5 linked regions of the Sus scrofa genome follow. The protein of the gene in region 1 interacts with the protein of each later gene in a biochemical or structural test. Links are inferred from orthologs where the notes say so. Each region holds a gene or a part of one and is shown on either strand. Other genes may lie near its edges. The genes, in order: SMAD2, SMURF2, ZFYVE9, SKI and ERBIN.

Region 1 (4,202 bases):
CCCAACTCAGGAGTCTTCTTTACCTAACACCGAGGACTCCACTCTCACCCAACCACGCTGGGGTTCAGGGTGAACCCCTAAGTGCAGGATGTGGGGGCTCCTCACACCCACACAGCCTCTCGCTCCTGCCATATGCCACCTCCAACTCCCAGGACACCCTTCACCAGTTCTGGCCAACTGCCACCCTCAATACCACAGAGCCTCTCTGGAGGGATTCAGCTTCTCCTGAAAAGTCCTCCTTGACATCCACTCAACCCAGGCATCAATCTTTCTCCAGCAGGAAACTTTCCACACAGCATGGAGTAGGGAAGGCTCCCCCTCTTTGGACATAGGTCCCTAAGCATACATCTTTCAGAACAACCCCTGGATGTTATGAAATTATCTTTCTTCTTTTTTAAAGTTTATCTTCCTTTCTAGAAAGTAAGCAACTCAAGAGCAAAGACTTTTATGTTTCTAAATGTTTACTGAACTGAAACATCAGACACTATACAATGAAAAATCAACAAATATGGCCTGACTTATTCCTAGCCAATTCATTAGCAAATCCTGTCAGTTCAGCTTCCAACCAGATTCATCCACTTCCCGAGTTACCACCACCTCGCCAGCCCAGCCTAGCCTCTGGCATCTCCATTCTGGATTACTTTAACAGTCGCCTCATTCCTCTGCGTCCACACCACTATACCACACCAGTCTATAACACACATGCCCACACACTCCACTATCCACACCCTCTTGTCTCCAGCAGCCAGAGTGATCTAAGATATAAAGATAAAAATTTCTTCTAAAATTTACTTAAATTTAAAAATCCACTTTAAAAATCTTCATTTGCTTCCTATTGTACTGGGACTAAAATCCAAACCGCCTCCTGATGCCCCATCTAATCTGACTCCTCCCAAGCCTTGTGCTCATTTGGTGTTACTGCATCTCTACTTCGATCCATTAAGTCTCCAATACGACAAGCTATGTCCCACCCTGGCGTCTGTATGCTTGCCCCTTCCTCTGCCTAGAAGACTTCCTTCAGCTACCTGCTACTTCTCCAAGTTTAGCTTAAGTGTCACAATCCAATCCAAAGCAGCTTTTTAATCCTTCAGTCACTGTCTTTTGTCCTCATTACCATCTCAAATTACATTAATTTGTCCACTTGTTTACAGTGTGTATCTGTCCCTCAGGAGGGCAGGAACTCCGCATTTCATCCATGCTGTGTCCCATATGCCTAAAACCAGTGCCTTTCACACGGAAGGCATCCATAAGCATTTCTAAAACAAAAGAATAAACCAAGAAAAGTGACCCTTACTTAAGAAATACCTGAAACAAGGAGTTCCCATTGTGGCTCAGTGGAAACGAATCTGACTAGCATCCATGAGGATATAGTTTTGATCCCTGACCTCGCTCAGTGGGTTAAGGATCCAGCATTGCTGTGAGCTGTGGTGTAGGTTGCAGATGCGGCTCAGATCCGGCGTTGCTGTGGCTGTGACACAGGCCAGTGGCTACAGCTTCAATTCGATCCCTAGCCTGGGAACCTCTATATGCCATGGGTGTGGCCCTAAAAAGCAAAAAAATAAAAATAAAAGTTAAAAAAAAAAAAGAAATACATGAAACAAGGTAAAAGAAATGGAAAGTAATCGGTAATTTTGTTTTATTACCAAACAAAACAAGGCAGGAAACATTCTAGTTAGTATCTGCAAGAAAGAAAGGCTGGTGTCACTGGGAGCTATTATCACAAGCATCCAGAGTTATTTCCCAAAACTCATTAGAAACATGTCAAGTAGAATGGTTTCATGTGCCATATGCTAGCCTATGTGTATGGCACTGCAAACAATCATTTTAGAAAATGCTATAAACTCACACTCCCCATAACCCTGCAATGTGCACAACTACAGTAGTGTACACTACAACACTTAAAAACTACTCGTTATGCTATTTGAAAAACCAGAATTTCTGACAGTGGTAATGATCTGTAAATGATTAAATTTATACTAATAAAACTTCAACCTCTTAGGTAACAGGTCCTTCTCTTATACGAGGCAGGTCTTCAAGACAGGATCTGACTATGGCACCTAAGAAGCTGCCTCATATACTGTTCTTTCTTAGAAATAATGCTGCAACTCAAACAAAAGCCATAACTCGTCACAATGTTAGCAGCCTCTGTTAACTCCTTACTGAAGTTTTGACCAGAGGAGCAGGAAACTGTCAGTCACTACTGCACTAGTGATACAAAAATCTTTGAATCTTTATTCAAATGTCACTCAATCACAAAAATTAGGATAACATACAATGAAGCATTTAGGCAATGAAGGCAAATGAAGACAGTGAAGATAAACCTTAGTAAAATCTAAGTATTTTATTTTGCTTGATTAAACTTTCTCGCTGTTCAAGAAAAGGATTTATAAAATAAACAAGTCTTATCGTGTCCAACAAAATTAATATGACAGGTTAGAAATAGATTTCATATTTTAATAATCACTATTGACAGGTGAATTGCATGTAACAAAATTTCAGTAACTTTCCTGCAGATTCCTTTAAGCAATTTTCAACAGGATGGCCATCAAGTTTCTGACCTAACCACACTTACCTTGGTATGGTAACACATTTAGTATTACAATTTTGAGTGGTGATGGCTTTCTCAAGCTCATCTAATCGTCCTGTTTTCTTTAGCTTCTTCACCAAACTTTTAACTGCTTTCTCACACCACTTCTCTTCCTGTCCATTCTGCTCTCCTCCACCTGCTCCTCCAGATCCACCAGCTGACTTCTTCCATCCCAGCAGTCTCTTCACAACTGGCGGAGTGAATGGCAAGATGGACGACATGTTCTTACCAAAGGCAGCGGTCCACACTAAGAAAATATCCTCCTTAATCTAACCTAGAAAAGATATGGAAAGGACAGTTGAGAGGCTAACTTTACCATCAACTACTGCTTTCAACACAGGAGCAAAAGCAAATTACAAAATGAGATAAGAAATTCAAATTATTACTTTCAGAACAGACTTTCAGAAGTTATCTTTTTCACCCATGACAAGTCTTCACGAATTTAAATGAACTGTGGAAACAAATCCTTCTAAAAACAAGACAATGATAAGTGGGCCAAGAGAACAATTTTGCAAGACAGAAAATTTTTTTATCTTTATCAACACTGGACCATTAATCACTACCCATACTACTATATTTTTACCTTTTAATAGTAGCAATAAAATATTTTCACTAAAACAAAGTTTTCCTTATGTTTTTAGAATTTCAGTCTATTCTCAAGACACTTAACAAAAATACATTTTTTTAATTTACAGGGCCAATCTCCCCGAAGTTTTAAACTTTCATAACTATCATAAAGTAAAGTCTAAGGTCATAACAAGGGGAAAGGAGAAAGGCATCAAGTGTGAAGTAAACAACCAGAAGTAAAGGTAACGAGAGACTGTGAGGAAGAGATGTGGTTCACTTTGAGAAGACTTTTAATTAAGCTTCATTTTAAAAATATTTTTTTCTCTATCTAAGTAACAACCCACATAGTGGATAAAGTCAAATAAAGCTCTTCTCCCCACACCAAGGTACAACTCTTTAAAATCTTTGAACCTTTACTCTTGCTATTTATACCTAAGCAATGGTCCCCCTTGAAGTATCAAGTTAAATATACCTATTGAAAATGAAGATTTACACCACAATCACTTGCTTTTCCTCCAGCCCTGAAAATAATTATCTTCCAACTGTAGTTTTATACCTGAAGAGATTAGTAGTAAACTACTATATAATCCTGTTTCCTTTTTTGTACATCTCTTTCTTTTTCTCCAGAGCTAATTATGTCAGTTTTTCATCTGCCTAGTTTTCTAAGCACCTACCATAAATTCTTCCTACTCTCTCTACCAAGTCCCTCAATTAAAATTTAATGTCAACAGCTTTAATCTCAAAGTAAGAGATAAGAACATTTACCACTGAGGGCAGAACTAGAGAGTTTAGATTTGAGAAGAATGGAAAAGATTTAGAAATGCAGCTCTGAGAAATACTGTAGAAAATCAAACTGAGTGAGGTCAGATAAATTTTATCAGGTATTTGCCAGACTATATATCAGAAAGTATTCCATGAAGGAGTTCCACTTCTAAACAGGATGTAGCAAATCACAAGAGACCATCACTTTCACCCTAACAAACAAAACAAGACAGATAAACTATAAAATCATGGTTTTTCTGAACCCGTCTAAAAGTTAAAGATGCAA
Region 2 (3,512 bases), on another chromosome or scaffold:
TCATTAGCAATACACCTATTCGGGTATCCTTTACATCGCACACAATAGGGAGTATTACGCTAGAAAACACGTATCAATGAGAAAGCGACGCCACAGGAAATATCTTAAATTTGCGAACATGAGGATCCACACATCAGTTACTGAGAAGCAAGTCTTCACCTGGCAACTCCTCCGTAGTCAAGGCCTTCTTCTCCACGAAATTTTATCATTAATCGCTTCCAGAGATCTTTTGGTCTCATTTTCATGACTTGCCGATATGATTCCTGAAAAAAACATTTAATACACTATTATTACTAGGTGCCTTTAACCTATTACTTAAACTCTCCCTCCCATTCCACCTACAAAACATATGTTTATTTAAATAAGGTGGAAATTGTTTATCAAATCAACAGATAAACTCCAAGTGTTTGAAATCTAAACAAACTTCTAAAAACAAAATGTGATATAGCTTAAAACTACTGGAACCAATTCATTTGATAAATATTATATTAAAAGCCTACTAAGTGCAAAACTCCATATTTAAGTCCTCTGAACCATAGCAATGATTCCACTCACATCAAAAAACAGAAGTTCATAGCAGGACCAAACTTTTTTATTAACCTCTAGGTCACAGACACCGTAGAAAGTAAAGTTAAGAAAAAGAAGTTTCAGAAAACATAAGTAGTCATTAATGTAATCTTCATTAAACTGACAACTTTGTATTATTTTAAAAATACAAATGACGGACTACAAATAAGGTCAGAACTGTTCTGAGAGAAAAAAGTTGATCCTTTGGGAGAAGGATTACAAAGTCGCCCAAACGTCTACTGCCTAAGAACCCTTAATGAGTGGGAAACCCTGCCTTGGACCTCTGCCACTTACTATGTAAGAACTTTGCTATTAGAGCTATAAAATCCAAAGATAAAGGATATACTAGAAAGGAAGATTTTCAATAAATTAAGGAAGTAGTCCAACAGTAATGAAACAAAGGGATTTTCTGACTTAAGAGTCCCTTACCTTTTGGAAGAATCAGAAAATAAGGGATGGATAGTATTGTAGACTTTTAAAATTCAAATCAAATAAATATTTGCAATACATAGATCAAGCTGCACAGAGTATCTCACACTCCCTCTTACTTATATGTTTATCTTATATTAAATGTCTCCAGTATTATTGCCTTTATTCTCCACAATTAAAAAAGAAATTAATGATGAACAACAAAGTCCTACTATATAGGGAGCTATATTCAATATCCTATGATAAATCACAATGGAAAATATTTAAATAAAAGGACGTATGTATATGTGTAATTGAATCATCTTGCAGTAGCGCAGAAATTAACACAACATTGTAAATCAACTATACTTCAATTAAAAAAAATTAATGAAAATTCTTCCATTCTAGGAGTTCCCTTGTGGTGCAGTAGGTTAAGGATCCAACACTGTCTTGCAGCAGCTTGGGGTGCTGCCGTGGCACAAGTTCAGTCCCTTACCAGGGAACTTCACATGCATTGGGCACAACCAAAAAAAAAAAAAGGAAGTAAAATTCTCCCATTCTAAAGAGACCTAAGTGCCCCAAAATATACTTGGAAAACAGAATAAATCAGTGAAATTTAATTTTTTCTCTATTTTAGAGTAAGACTTGAAGTTTACCTCTTTGCTGTATAGCAGAAATTGACAGAACACTGCAAATCAACTACACTTCAATTAACTATAAAAAAAGTTTACCTCAAAAATCTCTTCCCTGGAAACCTCAATGCGACAATGGCCAGCCTGAGGCTGTTGCTGGGAAAGTTCTTGCCGCAGAATTTTTAGCTTCTGAACCAGGTCTCGTTTGTACCGTGGGACTGTCAGACACTCTGTGTCATCAGGACATAACGATACCACCTGCTGCTGCTGCTGGTCTTTCAACTGGTTCTGTCGACTAAAAGTACACAAATATTACTAAAGTATTTTAAACAAAAAAGACAGCAATCATATATTTAAAATAGCATCATACTCTAAACCAAGTCTAGCTATATCATTCTAGGCCTTATTATATTCTTAGCCTGACATTTTTGACAACAATAAACTAATTCTAAAGTTTATCTCTCAGAATTTATGGACTTGGATAATAGAGTTTTATCTCAAAAGCTTTATACAGCTGCTGAGAACAACTTTCTCAAATACCATTTCCATTTTCTTCCGCATAGTTTACCATCACTCATTTTAAAATTCAGGCACATGCCAAAGCCTGGCCCTGTTATCTAGAGTCCGTCTCTCTGGAATAGACAAACTTTGAACTGGCAGCTTGACAGGGCCCCCTTCAAGGCACGCTACAGTCTAGACCACAGGTCACGTGGAAATTATTGGCACAGAGAAATGAGAACTTTACAAACAAGTCTAAATGCTTTATGACAACTTCTTATTGTGGTAAAATACACGTAACATAAACTTTACATTTTAACCATTTTTAAGCATTGTAGTAAGTGGCATTAAGTACATTCACATTGTCTACTGTGCTGAAGTGACTTCTAACTGCACATATATGATTTACCATAAATACATGTAAATAATCTCCCAAGTACAGCAGAAATATAACAATTTTTAAAAGGCACACTGCCTAATAATATATTTATTCTTTGGCAAAAATATAAGTTGCATCTAAGAATTTTTAAGACTCTTACGATATAATGAATAGTTAATTCCAATAAACAGTCAGGAAATTAAAAGTCAGAGAATTTACTATGGACATCTATGCAGACCTTGAGTGATTCAGCTGGAATTTTACATACAAGACTACAATCTCCTAACTTACAAGTGAAGAGTAATGATAGCTATGAGGAAATAAAAAAAAAAAAAAAAAAAAACCTTCAGTTCACTAACAAATCACTCAACTTACTTTATATACGTGATTCTTAAATACCATGCTAAACTTTATACCTGGAACATTTAACTAATAACTATCCAGAGAAAAAAGCAGCTTTGATAAAAATTATAAATCACTATTTACTACTCTTGTAAACATTATAATAAAGGTGTTATATATATATATGTATGTATACACACATATATAAATCAAAACAAATATATAAAAACTCCTAAAATACACCTTAACTATATTAATCTATACTCCCCTAAAAGAACTGGTGTATACCTTACACCAAATACAAAACTCAAAACGGATCAGAGACCTTAATGTAAATCTCAAGCCACGAAATCTTTGAAACACAGTTAGAAAACTTATATGACTGATGTCAGGGAAAGATTTCTTAAATATGATCCCAAAAGCACAATGATAAAAGTACAAATAGATAAAATGAACTTCATTGAAATTTCAAAGAAACTTTCTGCTTTCAAAAGACACTATTAAGAAAATGAAAAGGAGTTCCCGTCATGGCTCAGTGGCTAACGAATCCAACTAGGAACCACGAGGTTGCAGGTTCGATCCCTGGCCTTGCTCAGTGGGTTAAGGATCCGGCGTTGCTGTGAGCTGTGGTGTAGGCCACAGACATGGCTCAGATCCCAGTTGCTATGGCTCTGGCGAAGGCCGGC
Region 3 (3,512 bases), on another chromosome or scaffold:
TCCTTCCTTCATCCTCCCTTCAAAAACATGTACCAAAACTGCTTTAGAAATTAAGTCAAGAGGAATTCCCGTTGTGGCTCAACAGGTTAGGAGCCCAATGGGTATCCATGAGGATGCAGCTTCAATCCCTAGCTTTGTTCAGTGGGTTAAGGATTTGGTGTTGCCGTGGCTGTGGCATAGGCCAAAGCTGTAGCTCCAGTTCGACCCCTAGCCTGGGAACTTCCATATGTTTCAAGTGCAGCCCTGGAAAAAAAAAAAAAAAAAAGAAAAGAAAAGAAGAAAAGAAATTAAGCCAAGAAACCAGAAATACAAATTCCATGTGCAAATTGTACAAAGCCGTCCTTTCTTGTAGGCAGGGCTTTCAGTAAAGTTATAAAACATCAGGATGGCCAAAACCCAGAGCCTGGCCCAGAAGGAAGTGCCGCAGCGGGGAAGCTCAGCGCTTTACCCCTTGTTGACGTCCTTGTCGTCATCCACCCACTGGATGAGGATGTGCTCCTGGGGGTCCTCAGCATCCGCCTTGCCGCAGGTGATGGTGAAGTCCTTCATCTCCCGCAGAGCCTGCCGCAAGGCATCCATGTTCTCCGCAGTGATCTGGACCATGACGCCGTCTGAGAAGCAGCACCGAGATAACACAGGTGGGAGCAAGGCACAGCCAGGGAGGGGAGACAAAACCCCTTCCTGGCATCGAGCAAATCCCTCTAGGGTTAATGTAAAACTCTGCTCTGCCCTCTAAAGCTGACAGATGCAAAGACGTTTTGCTCTTTGAGCTGAACCTCTTACTGGCTGAACGTGTTACAAAGCGCAAAGGCCAAGATGGAGTCTGCTTAAAACTCCTACCTATGGATTTCACTTCAGGCACAACTGAGAGCTTCTCGTGAGACTGTTCAAAGGGAAAACTTACGCACAGTCACATCCCTCTTCTGGACTCAGAGAGAGCATTCTGTTCCTGCTTCCACGGTGACATTTATCATGCTCTAATCATATCTATTTCTTTGCATTTCTGTCTCTCCCACTGTCCTATGATTGCATACAGTGAATGCCCAGTGTTTGTTAAATAAATCACTGGGAAGGAGAATAAATTCATGTACTGACTAACAGTAAGACCAACCTACACATACGTTTTACCTGGGCTATCATATAGCCAACAGATTATAACTGTTAGGGGCTGCTACATACCCAAGTCAAAGGCAAACACTGAAAACTGAGGGTGAAAGTTGTCACATGCTGAGCAATTAACCTGCTTTGTTAATACAAAATTTTGTCAGGTGAAATAATTTCTGAAGAGCATGACTAAAATTTTCATAAATGGGCAACCAAGTGCTCTACTGGCACATTTAGTGAAACATAAGAGCTAAGAAATTCCTAACCCGAAGACATAATTTTAAAATATAATTACTCTGCATTTGTAAGGATCTGTGTCCATTTGAATCATCACTTTGACAACATTTAAAGGGTGCTTTTTAATCATCTTGTCAGGATAGATTTCAAATGCAGTCAATACTTGATCACACAGGCATTAATTAGTCGCTAAGACCAAACAACTACTTAACACCTAGATTTCCTAACAATTTCTTAATAGCATGTTCTGCTCTGCAGTTGTGACATTTAGTTGTGAAATATTAGCATGCTTTGTTCTTCGCTTTCAGCTTTATTAAGTTTACCAAAAAAGGAGATCAAAATCAATCTCTATTAACATACACAAGATTATCTATGTATTTCAATGAACACAATGAAATCCACCCTCAGAAGAACTGCTCTTCAGGTGCTGGAGTGAGCTCACGTGGAAATGAAAACCTGTCACTGCGGGTACGGATTGTATTTTCCGGAGACGACCACAATACCTCCTGTCTCACGTGCTTTCCTACAATGCTACTTTCCCATTTCCCCATCGAGAAAGAGTAAGTCCTCAGCCCTTGAGCAGGCTTTTGACCACTTCCAACACTAGAGTATGGTGGAAGTGACACTGTAGGACTTTTGAGTTTGGGTCATAAAAAGCAACGAGGCTTCTACCTTGTGCTGGACACTTGTGCTTGGAGTCCCGAGCCACCGTGTAAGAAGTCCAACCATCCCAAAGCTGCATGCTAAGGAGTCCAGTGTGCAAGGACTCCAGGGACTACTTTTGGTCTTTAAATCATCCCAGGACAGGCTCCAGATACATAAGTCAACAAACTTTAAGATAATTCTAGCTCTCAGCCATCAGGTAACAACCACCCTTCAGGCATTCCAACTGAGTCCCCAGACATCACTGAGCAGGGTCAAGCCATCCCTATATTGCCCTGTCAAGGGCAGATGCAGAAGAATCAGTGAGCACAGTAAAATAGCTGTTTTAAGCCATTAAATTTTGGTTTAATTTGTTATGCACCAAGAGTAACCAGACCAAAATACAGTGAAGAATAATTGACAAAGACAATAAATAGTATGCCCATTAGCCTTTCACTGATTTTCATTAAACTAACTTTTGTCAGGATATGTGTCCTATCTAATTATAGCAAACCAGCAGCAAATGCATCATTCTGTACACCAAATGGTGACTGCAGCATTCTCATGGATAACAGGGGCTGAAATTCATCTGCATATTTACAGATTCGCACCCAATGATATATTTGAACTCAGACTACGTCCCCTTGGGTACCTTAGCTCTGAAAAGCTATCTCTTTCTCTCTCTCTTTTTCTTTTCTTTCTTTTTTTTTTTGTTGTTTTTATAGAATGATTTTTATTTTTTTTCCATTATAGCTGGTTTACAGTGTTCTGTTAATTTTCTACTGTTCAGCAAGGTGACCCAGTCACACATGCATGTACACATTCTTTTTTCTCACATTATCATGCTCCATAAGTGACCAGACATAGTTCCCAGTGCTACACAGCAGGATCTCATTGCTAATCCATTCCAAAGGCAATAGTCTGCATATATTAACCCCAAGCTCCCCATCCACCCAACTCCCTCTCCCTCCCCCTTGGCAGCCACAAGTCTATTCTCCAAGTCCATGATTTTCTTTTTTATGGAAAGGTTCATTTGTGCCACATATTAGACTCCAGATAGAAGTGACATCACATGGTATTTTGTCTTTCTCTGAAAAGCCATCTCTTAATTTTTATGTTGGTGTCCCATGGTATTTCTCCCACTTATTTCCTTCTCTGGAGAGAAGGCACCCTTGTGGTAGTTTTAACTACCTGTTGAGTGAGATGCTACTGAATAAACGAGTCAGAAGTCTAACGCCAAAGTGTCAAGGCTTCCATTCATGACCCTTGTATAATTACGACTGTATAAGGTACATGCAGTAACTCATTCGTTACCTTCCACAATGCTGGACTTGGCAAGATATCCCGACGAGGACTTCAGAGCGCCACTGAACACAAAGAAACTGGCACCAGTCACTAAAATAGCAATGGAAAGAGTTTAGTGAACAAAGACTTGGAGATGGAGGGATTGAGAATAATAATGAAGTATCTGGTAGCTGGGAACTCCAACCACCATCATATAGAAAATAAAAAACACTGACTCTATACAC
Region 4 (4,263 bases), on another chromosome or scaffold:
AAATCACCAGCATGCTCCGGCCTCCCCTCCAGGCCACCAGCTTGGGCCAGGCCTTCCCTGAGCCTGCGGACACCAGGGCCCGGAAGGGCCTTCAGCGATGACAAAAAGCAGACCCCAGCAAGACAGTCCCAACCACCCAGGACCCAGACCAGGACCCAGACGGGCACACACCCTGCCGCAGTCCCAACCACCCGTGGACCCTCTGCTGTCCACTCTGGAGCAGAGGAACCCGCCACAGCCTTGCCCACCACAGGCTTAACCAGCCCGCCAGAACCCACCAGCGCCGGCAAGATGGCTGTCGAGGGAGCGGGCACCCCAGGCCCCGGGGAGCACCCATCACGCCACCCACAGCCAACAGCAGCCTGCACGACGGGCCTGGCCAGCCTGCTGAGATCTGCCGGCAGCCGTTCCCATGGGCACCCTCCCCCACCGAGCTGCCCACCCAGACCGGCTCCCCCACCCCGTGCCAACTCCACAGCCTGCAGACAGCTGCCACCTGGGCGCTGGCCTAGCCAAGGGCAGCACCACCACCAGATACACGGACGCACACGCGGTGGCCCCTCTGAGCGCGGGCAGCAGGCCCTTATTCCCTCCCCTCCTCCGCTCCCTGAGACTCTGACACTCCGCTGGAGAGGCGCCCAGAGAGAACTGGGGGGAGCATCTATTCACAGATTTGGAAAAAAAAAAGTTTGATGCAATAGCTGAATTAATTAGGCCTCCCAAGAATAGCTGAGCCAGTGCAGCATTCTGTGTGTGCAATTTAATAAGCCTGCATATTTCAAAGAAAAGTTGCAAATACTTGGGGCGGGGGGAAGACGCCATGAAAAGTTGGTGTCGACCCTGATGGAGGGCTGGGGCGCCTGGTGGCCCGGGAGCAGCCAGGCCGGATCACACAGACCCCCAGCCTGGCAAACAACAGCGCCTCGGCCAGCGGCCTCCCTGCTGCACCCTTCGGCGTTTCAGCGAGAAGGAAACAAGGAGATAAGGACATGTCCAAAACGAATCACAGGCCGGCGGCTACCCTGACACCCGGGGCCCTGGGTGCCCGCTGACCAGTCCCCAAGCCCTGTGCCAAGCAGCCCTCGCCCCCACACGGGGGACTCCACAATTCACTGCCTGCCAGGCCAGGGCAGACACAGAGAGCTGGAGTCGCCAAGTCTCGGCCCCCTGCCACCAGGGCCTGGACACCTGGCTTGGGCTTTGAGTCTGTCTCCCGAGACTTCAAGGCACAAACAGGCCCCGCCTGGCCAAGTTCTGCCTGCTGGGAAGTGCCAGGCACCCCGTGTGCGAGCCTGGGAGCTTGGGGGCCAGGGCAGTCCCCCTCGCGCATGGGGGCTGGACACTTGCTTTGGGCCCGAGGAAGGACTGGACTTGGAGCTCCAGCTTGGGCCCAGCCAGAACCACTTTCCCGGGGACTCGGGACAGAGAGTCCAAGGTCTGCAGCCTGCCCCTCCCGGCTGTCTGGGCAATGACCGTGGGCCTCAGCAAGGCTTCGCCCACCAAGCCTGCCCCAGGCTCCCCAGGGCTCCCAACCAGGCCAGCCTGGCTCAGGCTGGGAGTCAGACAGGAGGCTCTTCCTCCCGGGCTACCTGGCCCTCTAGGGGGACAAGGACACTCCCCTGCCCCCCCACCCCAGTCTCCTTAAAACAAAACAAAACAAAACACCGAGACGTGTGGAGGCGGAGGAAGCACAGGTCGCACCGCGCGCCCCAGCCCCTGCCCACAGCCACCACCCCCCCCCCACCGCCGCCGCCCCCCCCCAGGCGCGCCGCCGCCGCTCGCAGGACACTCACCCGGGGCGCCCGCCTCTTGTACTTGTTGCCGTAGTCGAACTTCTCCTTGACGTCGTCCAGGCATCTGCCGAGGCGCGCCTGCTCCTCCTTGCCGGTGTAGTCCTGGCTCAGCAGGATGTAGGCCCGCCAGTTGGCCGAGTCGAAGCCCCAGTGGCAGGTCCGGTTCTCCAGGGCCTTGTGCGAGTGCACCACGAACTTATGCGGTGGGTACAGGAGAGAGCAGTCCAGGCACTGGATGCAGGCGGCGCTCGGGCTGCTGTACAGCTCGGGGACCAGCAGTCCCTTGCACTTGCCGAAGCACTCGTGGTACACGCGCACGCTGCGCTCGCTGCGCTCCAGGCCCAGCGCCAGGCTGGCGGCCAGCTCCTGCTTGCAGGGCGGCGGGTAGGCGCCGCCGTAGAGCAGCGCGTTGCACAGGCGCTCGGCGTCCGTCTTGGTGATGAGCCCGCACGAGGGCGCCGAGAAGGGCAGGATGCCCATGACTTTGAGGATCTCCAGCTGGTCGGCCGTGCAGCGCGAGCAGTAGATGTGCAGCTCGTCGCACACCGAGTTGATCTGCTGCAGCGAGAAGTCGCGCAGCACCGAGTTGAGGATCTGCGGCAGACACAGGCGCTTCTCGCCGCCCACCACGAAGCACGAGATGGTCTCGCCCTCCAGCACGGTCTCGCAGCGCTCCGTGGAGCGGTCGGACGGCATGAAGAAGGGCCCGGGCAGCACGGGCGGCGGCGGCTGGATGGCGGGCAGGTGCAGCACCGGCGGAGGCTCGGCGGCCGCGGGCACCGGCGCCGGCACCGCGGCCGCGCCCGCCTCCTTGGCGCTCTCCTTCTTGTAGGCCTCCTGCGCCCAGCGCGCCGAGAAGGCGGCCGGGCCGCCCAGCGAGCTCATGGAGCTCAGGTGGAACTGCTCCAGCGTCTTCTGCAGCCCCGGGTGCGGCTGAAAGCCGCCCCGGCCGCCCGCCGCCGCCTCCATGGTGCGCTCCGGCTCCCCAGGCCGCTCCCGCTCCCGCGCGCCCGGGCCCCCGCGGCCCCCGCCGCCGCCGCCCCGCGCGCCCCGGCGGCGCCCCCGGCCCCGGCCCCGGCCGCCCCCCGCCACCGGCTCCCGGCCGATCACGGCCGCGGCCTCGGCCTCGCCCGGGGGCGCGAAGGGGAAGGCGGGCGGGGCGAAGGGGTCCCGCCGCTGCAGCCCGCCGCCGCCCGGGCCCGGCGCCACATCCACGCGCCCCGCGCCGCGCCCGCCGCCGCCCGGGCCCCCGCGCGCCCCCCGCGCGCCCCCCGGGCCCTAGGCGCGGGGCATGCCCCAGCGCGCGCCGCCAACGCCAACGCCAACGCTCGCGGGCCCGGGGCTCGCGGGGGGCGCGCGGGCAGGTGCCGGCGCCGCGAGGCGCGAATCGCCGCGGCGGCCGAGGCCGAGGGGCCCGGGAGGAGCGGGGGCGCGGGCGCGGGGCCCGCCGGGCCGTCCTCGCGCGGCGCGCCGCCGCCGCCGCCCCGCTCCTCCCACCGCGCGGCGCCCGCCCGGCTCGTCCCGGCGGCGCTGGCCGGCCGCGTCGCGCCCGCCGCCGGCCTCCCGGCCCGGCCCGCGCCCACCCCGCCGCCCGCGCCCGGCTCCGCGGCCTGCCCGCCCGCCCGCGCGCGCGCGCGCGCGGCTTCCGGGGCGGCGGAGCGCCTGTGGCGGCGGCCTCAGACCGCGGCGGCGGCGGCGGCGCGGAGATCGGCGCACATCCTCCCGGCGGCTCGCTCCAGCTCGGACTGAGCGCCGGGCGCTGAGCTCACGCCGCCGCCCCGCCCCGCGCCCCGCCCCGCGCCGCGCCGCCGCCCCGCCCCGCGCGTCGTCTGGGGCCGCGCGTCCGCCTCAGCCGAGCGCCGGCCTGGAATGCGCCGGCCCCCCGACCCGGCTCTTCCAGGAACGCGCGCTCCCCCCGCCCACGCCCGGCGCTCGGCCGCGCTCGGCCGCGCTCGGGCCCGTCCGCCCGGGACTCGGCTCCGCTCGGCCCAGCCCGCCGGGGACTCGGGTCTGCTCGGCTCCGCTCGGCTCCGCTCGGCCGCAGCCGCCAGGGGTTCAGCGCTGTTCGGCGCCGATCGGCCCCACCCGCCGGAAGGCGGCTCCGCGGGGGCGACGGCGGCGCCCCAGGCCCCTCATCCGGCGGAGGCCGCTTCCTGCGCGGCCGCGAAGGCCCCCGGCCCGCCGCCCCGTCGCCACCAGAGCCCAGAAACCCACACGGGGCCCCCACCACAACCGCAGACCAGCTGAGGAGCGGACAGGACGGGCCGCGCGTCCTCCATCAACGCCGCGGTCCCCACGCACACGATGGGGACACCAGGCAAAATGATCCAAGTCGCACATAGTACAGGGACACCAAGCAACACGATGTGGGTTAGGAGTGCAGCACCCCGGAGACACACACCCCCCCCGCAGGAGACAGACCCCGTGCAGCCTGTCCTGGGGACCGACCGCCAAGGCATGACTGCTGGCA
Region 5 (4,295 bases), on another chromosome or scaffold:
AGAATCTAGACAACTAGAAATTACAAAAAAAAAAAAAAAAAAATACTTTCCTATCTAACATCACTAAAACCTACAGAATCCCAAATACTTCATAATCACTACCATATTTATCTACAGGCAATAATTTAAAATAAATGCATAAATATGCACTTAATTTTCTGAAATTCTTGTCTCTTAAAGTGAGGTACTGTTTACTGCCATGAGCTCACTACCAAAATCTCTAAAATACCTGAGTTTTAGACATTTACCAATGATACACATCAAATGTCTCTAACTGTAGTTATTGCTTCATGAAGAAAAAACAAGCAATAAAAAATTGGTTCCCATATTGGAACCTCTGTAAGCTTTTTATACATGAAAAGTTGGCAATAATTTGTTCACAAACAGTAGGGAAACTTCATAATATCTGAATTAATTAGTTGAAAGATTAAGTTTATCACTTTTGAAAACTCCCAGTACCTTTAACAAACAGGGCCATCAAGTGCGCATTTTCTACAAACACCTTGGAAGTACTCCAGATTTGTGAATTTAATCTAAAAAACCCACAGAATACTAAGAAAAATATCCAAAATTTGAAGCCATTTTAAAATATTTTTATGACCATTTTTTAAACTTATTTTCAAACCACTGTCAAATTTTAAACAAAACTTTGAAAAATATTTACAGTTTGACAACAGTATAAAACCTAAAATTCATTAAGTTAATCCAGTGCTAAACTAATAAAATAAATAAACCTCAAAGTAAATTTTGCCTTGTTGAGGGGAAAAAGGAATCAAAGACAACTACAAAGGTGAACATCTTTTAAAACATGTTGTCTGCATCTATACATACTATGCTCCCTCAAGAAAAAAAATCAAGAGCTATATCTAACAACAGGCATTTAAATAGGTATTTTTGAGGACTATAATACTTCTTTCAAGTAAAATTTCCTAACACAGAGAAAGGAACACTTTCGCAAAGTGATAATTCTCTATAAAAGACTTGCTCTATTAAGGCTTTGTTGCTCTGAAGCCAAGTATAAACCATATAAGGAAACCGAAGTTCAATGCCATTTATTTTGTTCCCCTCTTTCAGATGCCCAAGAATAACCTCTTTCGTTGCCTAATTTTAAGTTCTAAAATCATAAAGTAGATCACTTACATACTTTAAATTATTTGATAAAGCTACTTTCACTTAATAGGAATTACTTGATGGTTCACAAAATCTTACCAACAATTTAAAAAACTACAAAATTGTTTTTAAAAAGGAGCTCCAGAGACTAAGCTCCAAGAAAAAAAAAAATCAAAACAATATATAGTAATAGTTAAAAGACCCCCTTTTTGAAACATACTTAATTTGAAGTAACAAAGAAAAAGTTGTGAAATTATTTGAACCTACTGTTTAAAACCTACCTTGTCTCTTTTTGGAACTAAAGAAAGCCAACCATTTTTCTTGTGGTGGCAAGGGCAAATAAATATTAATTTACATTTAAGATATATCTACAAACAAAATACCACGTTTATTTGACATTTATTCAAGAGCAGAGTTTATCTTTTACCTCCCTTTACCAAAAAAGCACGGGGGGGGGGGAACCAAACTTAAAAAGACACTCATTAAAAACACCACAGAAGAAACCGTCTGTGTCTGCAGCAACCAAAACTAGTTTGATCTATAAAGACTACCGACTGGTTCAGAAGTGTTTATATTTATAACTGACTGGTGGAATGTCACCGTGCTTCACTTAATCCCTGCCCCCACAGCAGATACTCATCACTTATTAGGTGGCAGACCCGGTCAAAACATTTGGGCCAACAACAACAAAAAAATGTAAATAATGTGCTAACCAAAAAGCACAGCTATTTATCACAATCACTGTGATGCCCATGAACACTGTTTTAAGCGTTTTACTTCCTTTCCTATACATTCAGTTCCGAATTGCACAGAAGTCCTAACAAATCAAACCACTTACAGGCATTCATGTTTGCTTTTTAATCATCACTCTTTAGCCGTAACACTTTTTCTCCCTACTAGGTCAGTTACAAGAAAAATCTTGTAGACAGTAGCTTGTAGACAACACCAAACAAGTATTATAAAGTTATAAATGTCCGAAAAGAACAAGTTACTGAAGACATATATATTACCCACCTGAAAAAACGACTAAGAACGGCAAAGAGTTTTTTGTTTATAAAACCCAATGAAACACAGTCATAAGAGTTGGAACTAAATAACTCCATATACATTTAAATGCAAAAGCAAAATAATCGGTAACAGTATAAACAAATACTGTGGCAGCCATCTCAACAGCAGCCGATTGCTCGCCGCAGTGACCTAACTTTCATCCAAAACAAAAGTTGTCAGGTTCAGCAACTTAATAAATCAAAAACATACATTGTATATGTTCCGGGAAACTAAGATTTCTGGACCTTCTGCTGAACAAAGGCATTCTTTCCTCGGAATTGCTTAAAACTTTTCGTCCCACCGCATTCTTACAACCTCTTCTAAAATGACCAGGGTCCAGATGGTAGAAAGGAGAATAAAATCAGTTCTACTGCTTTGCACCTAAATCACTACCCCGTCCGACAGGAGAGAGGGAGAATTTAGGGCAACTTGAGAAAAAGTGGAAAACACTAAAGTTTCCTCTCTTTCCTGGCCGGGGAGCTTTGTGACTCGCAGACACTTTGGGTGAAAATTACCTTTCGGTCGGGCAGTGTCTCAGGACAGCTTTTTCAAGGCTTCGCCTGACATGATTTCCTCCCCTTCATTAGTCACTTCGGATCCAGCCGAATTTCTCTCTCCGGTGAGAGCGGATGTGGAGTGGCCTCCCGCAGTAGGAAGAGTAGGTGGCTCCGGTGGGGGTTGGGAAGCGGGCTGGCTTCCTGGTCTCGAGTTTTGCAGGAGTTTCCCAGCCCCAACTAGGATCTCCGTCGAAAAAAAAACTTTTCACTCGTGACACCGCCCGGAATTACCGTGCGAAACTCACTTCCTGCCTTGGCGAGCAGCAGGATCCAGCTCGGTCCAGGGGAACCCGGAAAACCAGCTCCACGCGCGTCGGGCGGGGGAGGGCAGGGGGCGTCAGCCGAGAGCCTGGGACTCCGGGCGACCCGCGCGCCCCGATATCCGACGGCAGGCGAACCTGGCCCGCGGGGGCAAAGATGCCACCGGGGCGCTGGGAGAGCCTCTGCCGCGCTAGGCCGCCGCCGCCTCCTCGCCGCCACCCCCGGAGCCGGGCGGCGGGGTTATTGTCTCGGTAGCGCCTGCCGCGCCCTTCGCCCGCGCGGCCGCAGCCGCGGCCGCCCGGAGCCCGAGCCGAGGGGCCGGGCAGGCTCGATGGCGGCCCCCTCCCCCGGCCGGCCGTCGGGCTGTCCGTCCTTCCGTACGTCCCTCCCCGCCTTCCTTCCCTGCCCTCGAGCCCTCTTCTCCTCCCCCTCCTGTTTTCCCGCCACCGTCCCCTCGCTCCCCTCCTCGTTCTTCTTCCCTGGCGGCGGTGGCTCCCCCGGGAAGCGCAGGGGGTGGGGGCAGGCGGCGGCTTCGTCTCCTCACAAGCTCGCGGGGCCGCGGCAGGGGCCGAGACTGCGTCCCGCGCCGCCGCGCCACATTCACTCGAGCGAGAGACTGCGAGGGGCGGGGAGGGGAGGGGAGGGGAGGGGAGGGAGGGAGCGGAGAGAAAGGAGGAGGAAGGGGGCTGGGGCGGAGGGGAGTTACTGCCTCACAGGCCGCGGAGGCAACAGCGCCACCGCCCCGGCGGCGAGGGGGGAAGAGGCTGCGCGCGGCGGCGGCTCCGCGGCGGGGGCGGGGCGGCCTCCCGCCCGCTTCGCCCCAACCTCCAACAGCCGGGCTGGAGGCCGGCGCGAGCCAGTCACCGCGCGCGGGGGCGGTGCGGGCCGACGTCGGTGGCGGCGGGGGGCGGCGGCGGCAGCGGGGGGTGATAGTCTTGGGGGCCCGGGAGGCGGGGCCGGCGGCCGGGGGTTCGCGAGCTAGGTCCGGCGTGAGGCCAGCTCTGGCCCAGGCCCGGGAGGCCTGCGTGCTGCTCCCCAGCCGCCCAAGGTGGGGATGCGGGCGAAGTCGATCCCGGCTGCCCTGCGCCCAGCCTGGAAGAAGAGAGTCCTTGGAGTTTCCGTCGTGGCGCAGTGGTTAACGAATCCGACTAGGAACCATGAGGTTGCGGGTTCGGTCCCTGCCTTGCTCAGTGGGTTAACGATCCGGCGTTGCCGTGAGCTGTGGTGTAGGTTGCAGACGCGGCTCGGATCCCGCGTTGCTGTGGCTCTGGCGTAGGCCGGTGGCTACAGCTCCGATTCAACCCTAGCCTGGAACCTCCA

What was found.
Region 2: the proteins of SMAD2 (region 1) and SMURF2 form a complex in vitro, tested with the Homo sapiens proteins (3 studies listed by BioGRID and IntAct, with this or other methods). The link is inferred for Sus scrofa from reciprocal best matches to the Homo sapiens genes SMAD2 and SMURF2.
Region 3: the proteins of SMAD2 (region 1) and ZFYVE9 are reported together in a solved structure, tested with the Homo sapiens proteins (2 studies listed by BioGRID and IntAct, with this or other methods). The link is inferred for Sus scrofa from reciprocal best matches to the Homo sapiens genes SMAD2 and ZFYVE9.
Region 4: the proteins of SMAD2 (region 1) and SKI form a complex in vitro, tested with the Homo sapiens proteins (4 studies listed by BioGRID). The link is inferred for Sus scrofa from reciprocal best matches to the Homo sapiens genes SMAD2 and SKI.
Region 5: the proteins of SMAD2 (region 1) and ERBIN form a complex in vitro, tested with the Homo sapiens proteins (2 studies listed by BioGRID). The link is inferred for Sus scrofa from reciprocal best matches to the Homo sapiens genes SMAD2 and ERBIN.

Annotation. Positions count from the first base shown.
Region 1 is NC_010443.5:97,481,415-97,485,616, forward strand, and holds the start of SMAD2 (mothers against decapentaplegic homolog 2), read right to left. Parts: upstream 2,810-4,202; 5' UTR 2,809-2,809; coding exon 2,573-2,808; intron 1-2,572. UniProt on the Homo sapiens protein: Receptor-regulated SMAD (R-SMAD) that is an intracellular signal transducer and transcriptional modulator activated by TGF-beta (transforming growth factor) and activin type 1 receptor kinases.
Region 2 is NC_010454.4:14,469,680-14,473,191, reverse strand, and holds part of SMURF2 (E3 ubiquitin-protein ligase SMURF2), read right to left. Parts: intron 1,903-3,512; coding exon 1,707-1,902; intron 264-1,706; coding exon 160-263; intron 1-159. UniProt on the Homo sapiens protein: E3 ubiquitin-protein ligase which accepts ubiquitin from an E2 ubiquitin-conjugating enzyme in the form of a thioester and then directly transfers the ubiquitin to targeted substrates.
Region 3 is NC_010448.4:159,882,473-159,885,984, forward strand, and holds part of ZFYVE9 (zinc finger FYVE domain-containing protein 9), read right to left. Parts: intron 3,379-3,512; coding exon 3,298-3,378; intron 612-3,297; coding exon 449-611; intron 1-448. UniProt on the Homo sapiens protein: Early endosomal protein that functions to recruit SMAD2/SMAD3 to intracellular membranes and to the TGF-beta receptor.
Region 4 is NC_010448.4:64,186,812-64,191,074, reverse strand, and holds the start of SKI (ski oncogene), read right to left. Parts: upstream 2,811-4,263; 5' UTR 2,763-2,810; coding exon 1,794-2,762; intron 1-1,793. UniProt on the Homo sapiens protein: May play a role in terminal differentiation of skeletal muscle cells but not in the determination of cells to the myogenic lineage. Functions as a repressor of TGF-beta signaling.
Region 5 is NC_010458.4:44,414,504-44,418,798, reverse strand, and holds the start of ERBIN (erbin), read right to left. Parts: upstream 2,811-4,295; 5' UTR 2,673-2,810; intron 1-2,672. UniProt on the Homo sapiens protein: Acts as an adapter for the receptor ERBB2, in epithelia. By binding the unphosphorylated 'Tyr-1248' of receptor ERBB2, it may contribute to stabilize this unphosphorylated state.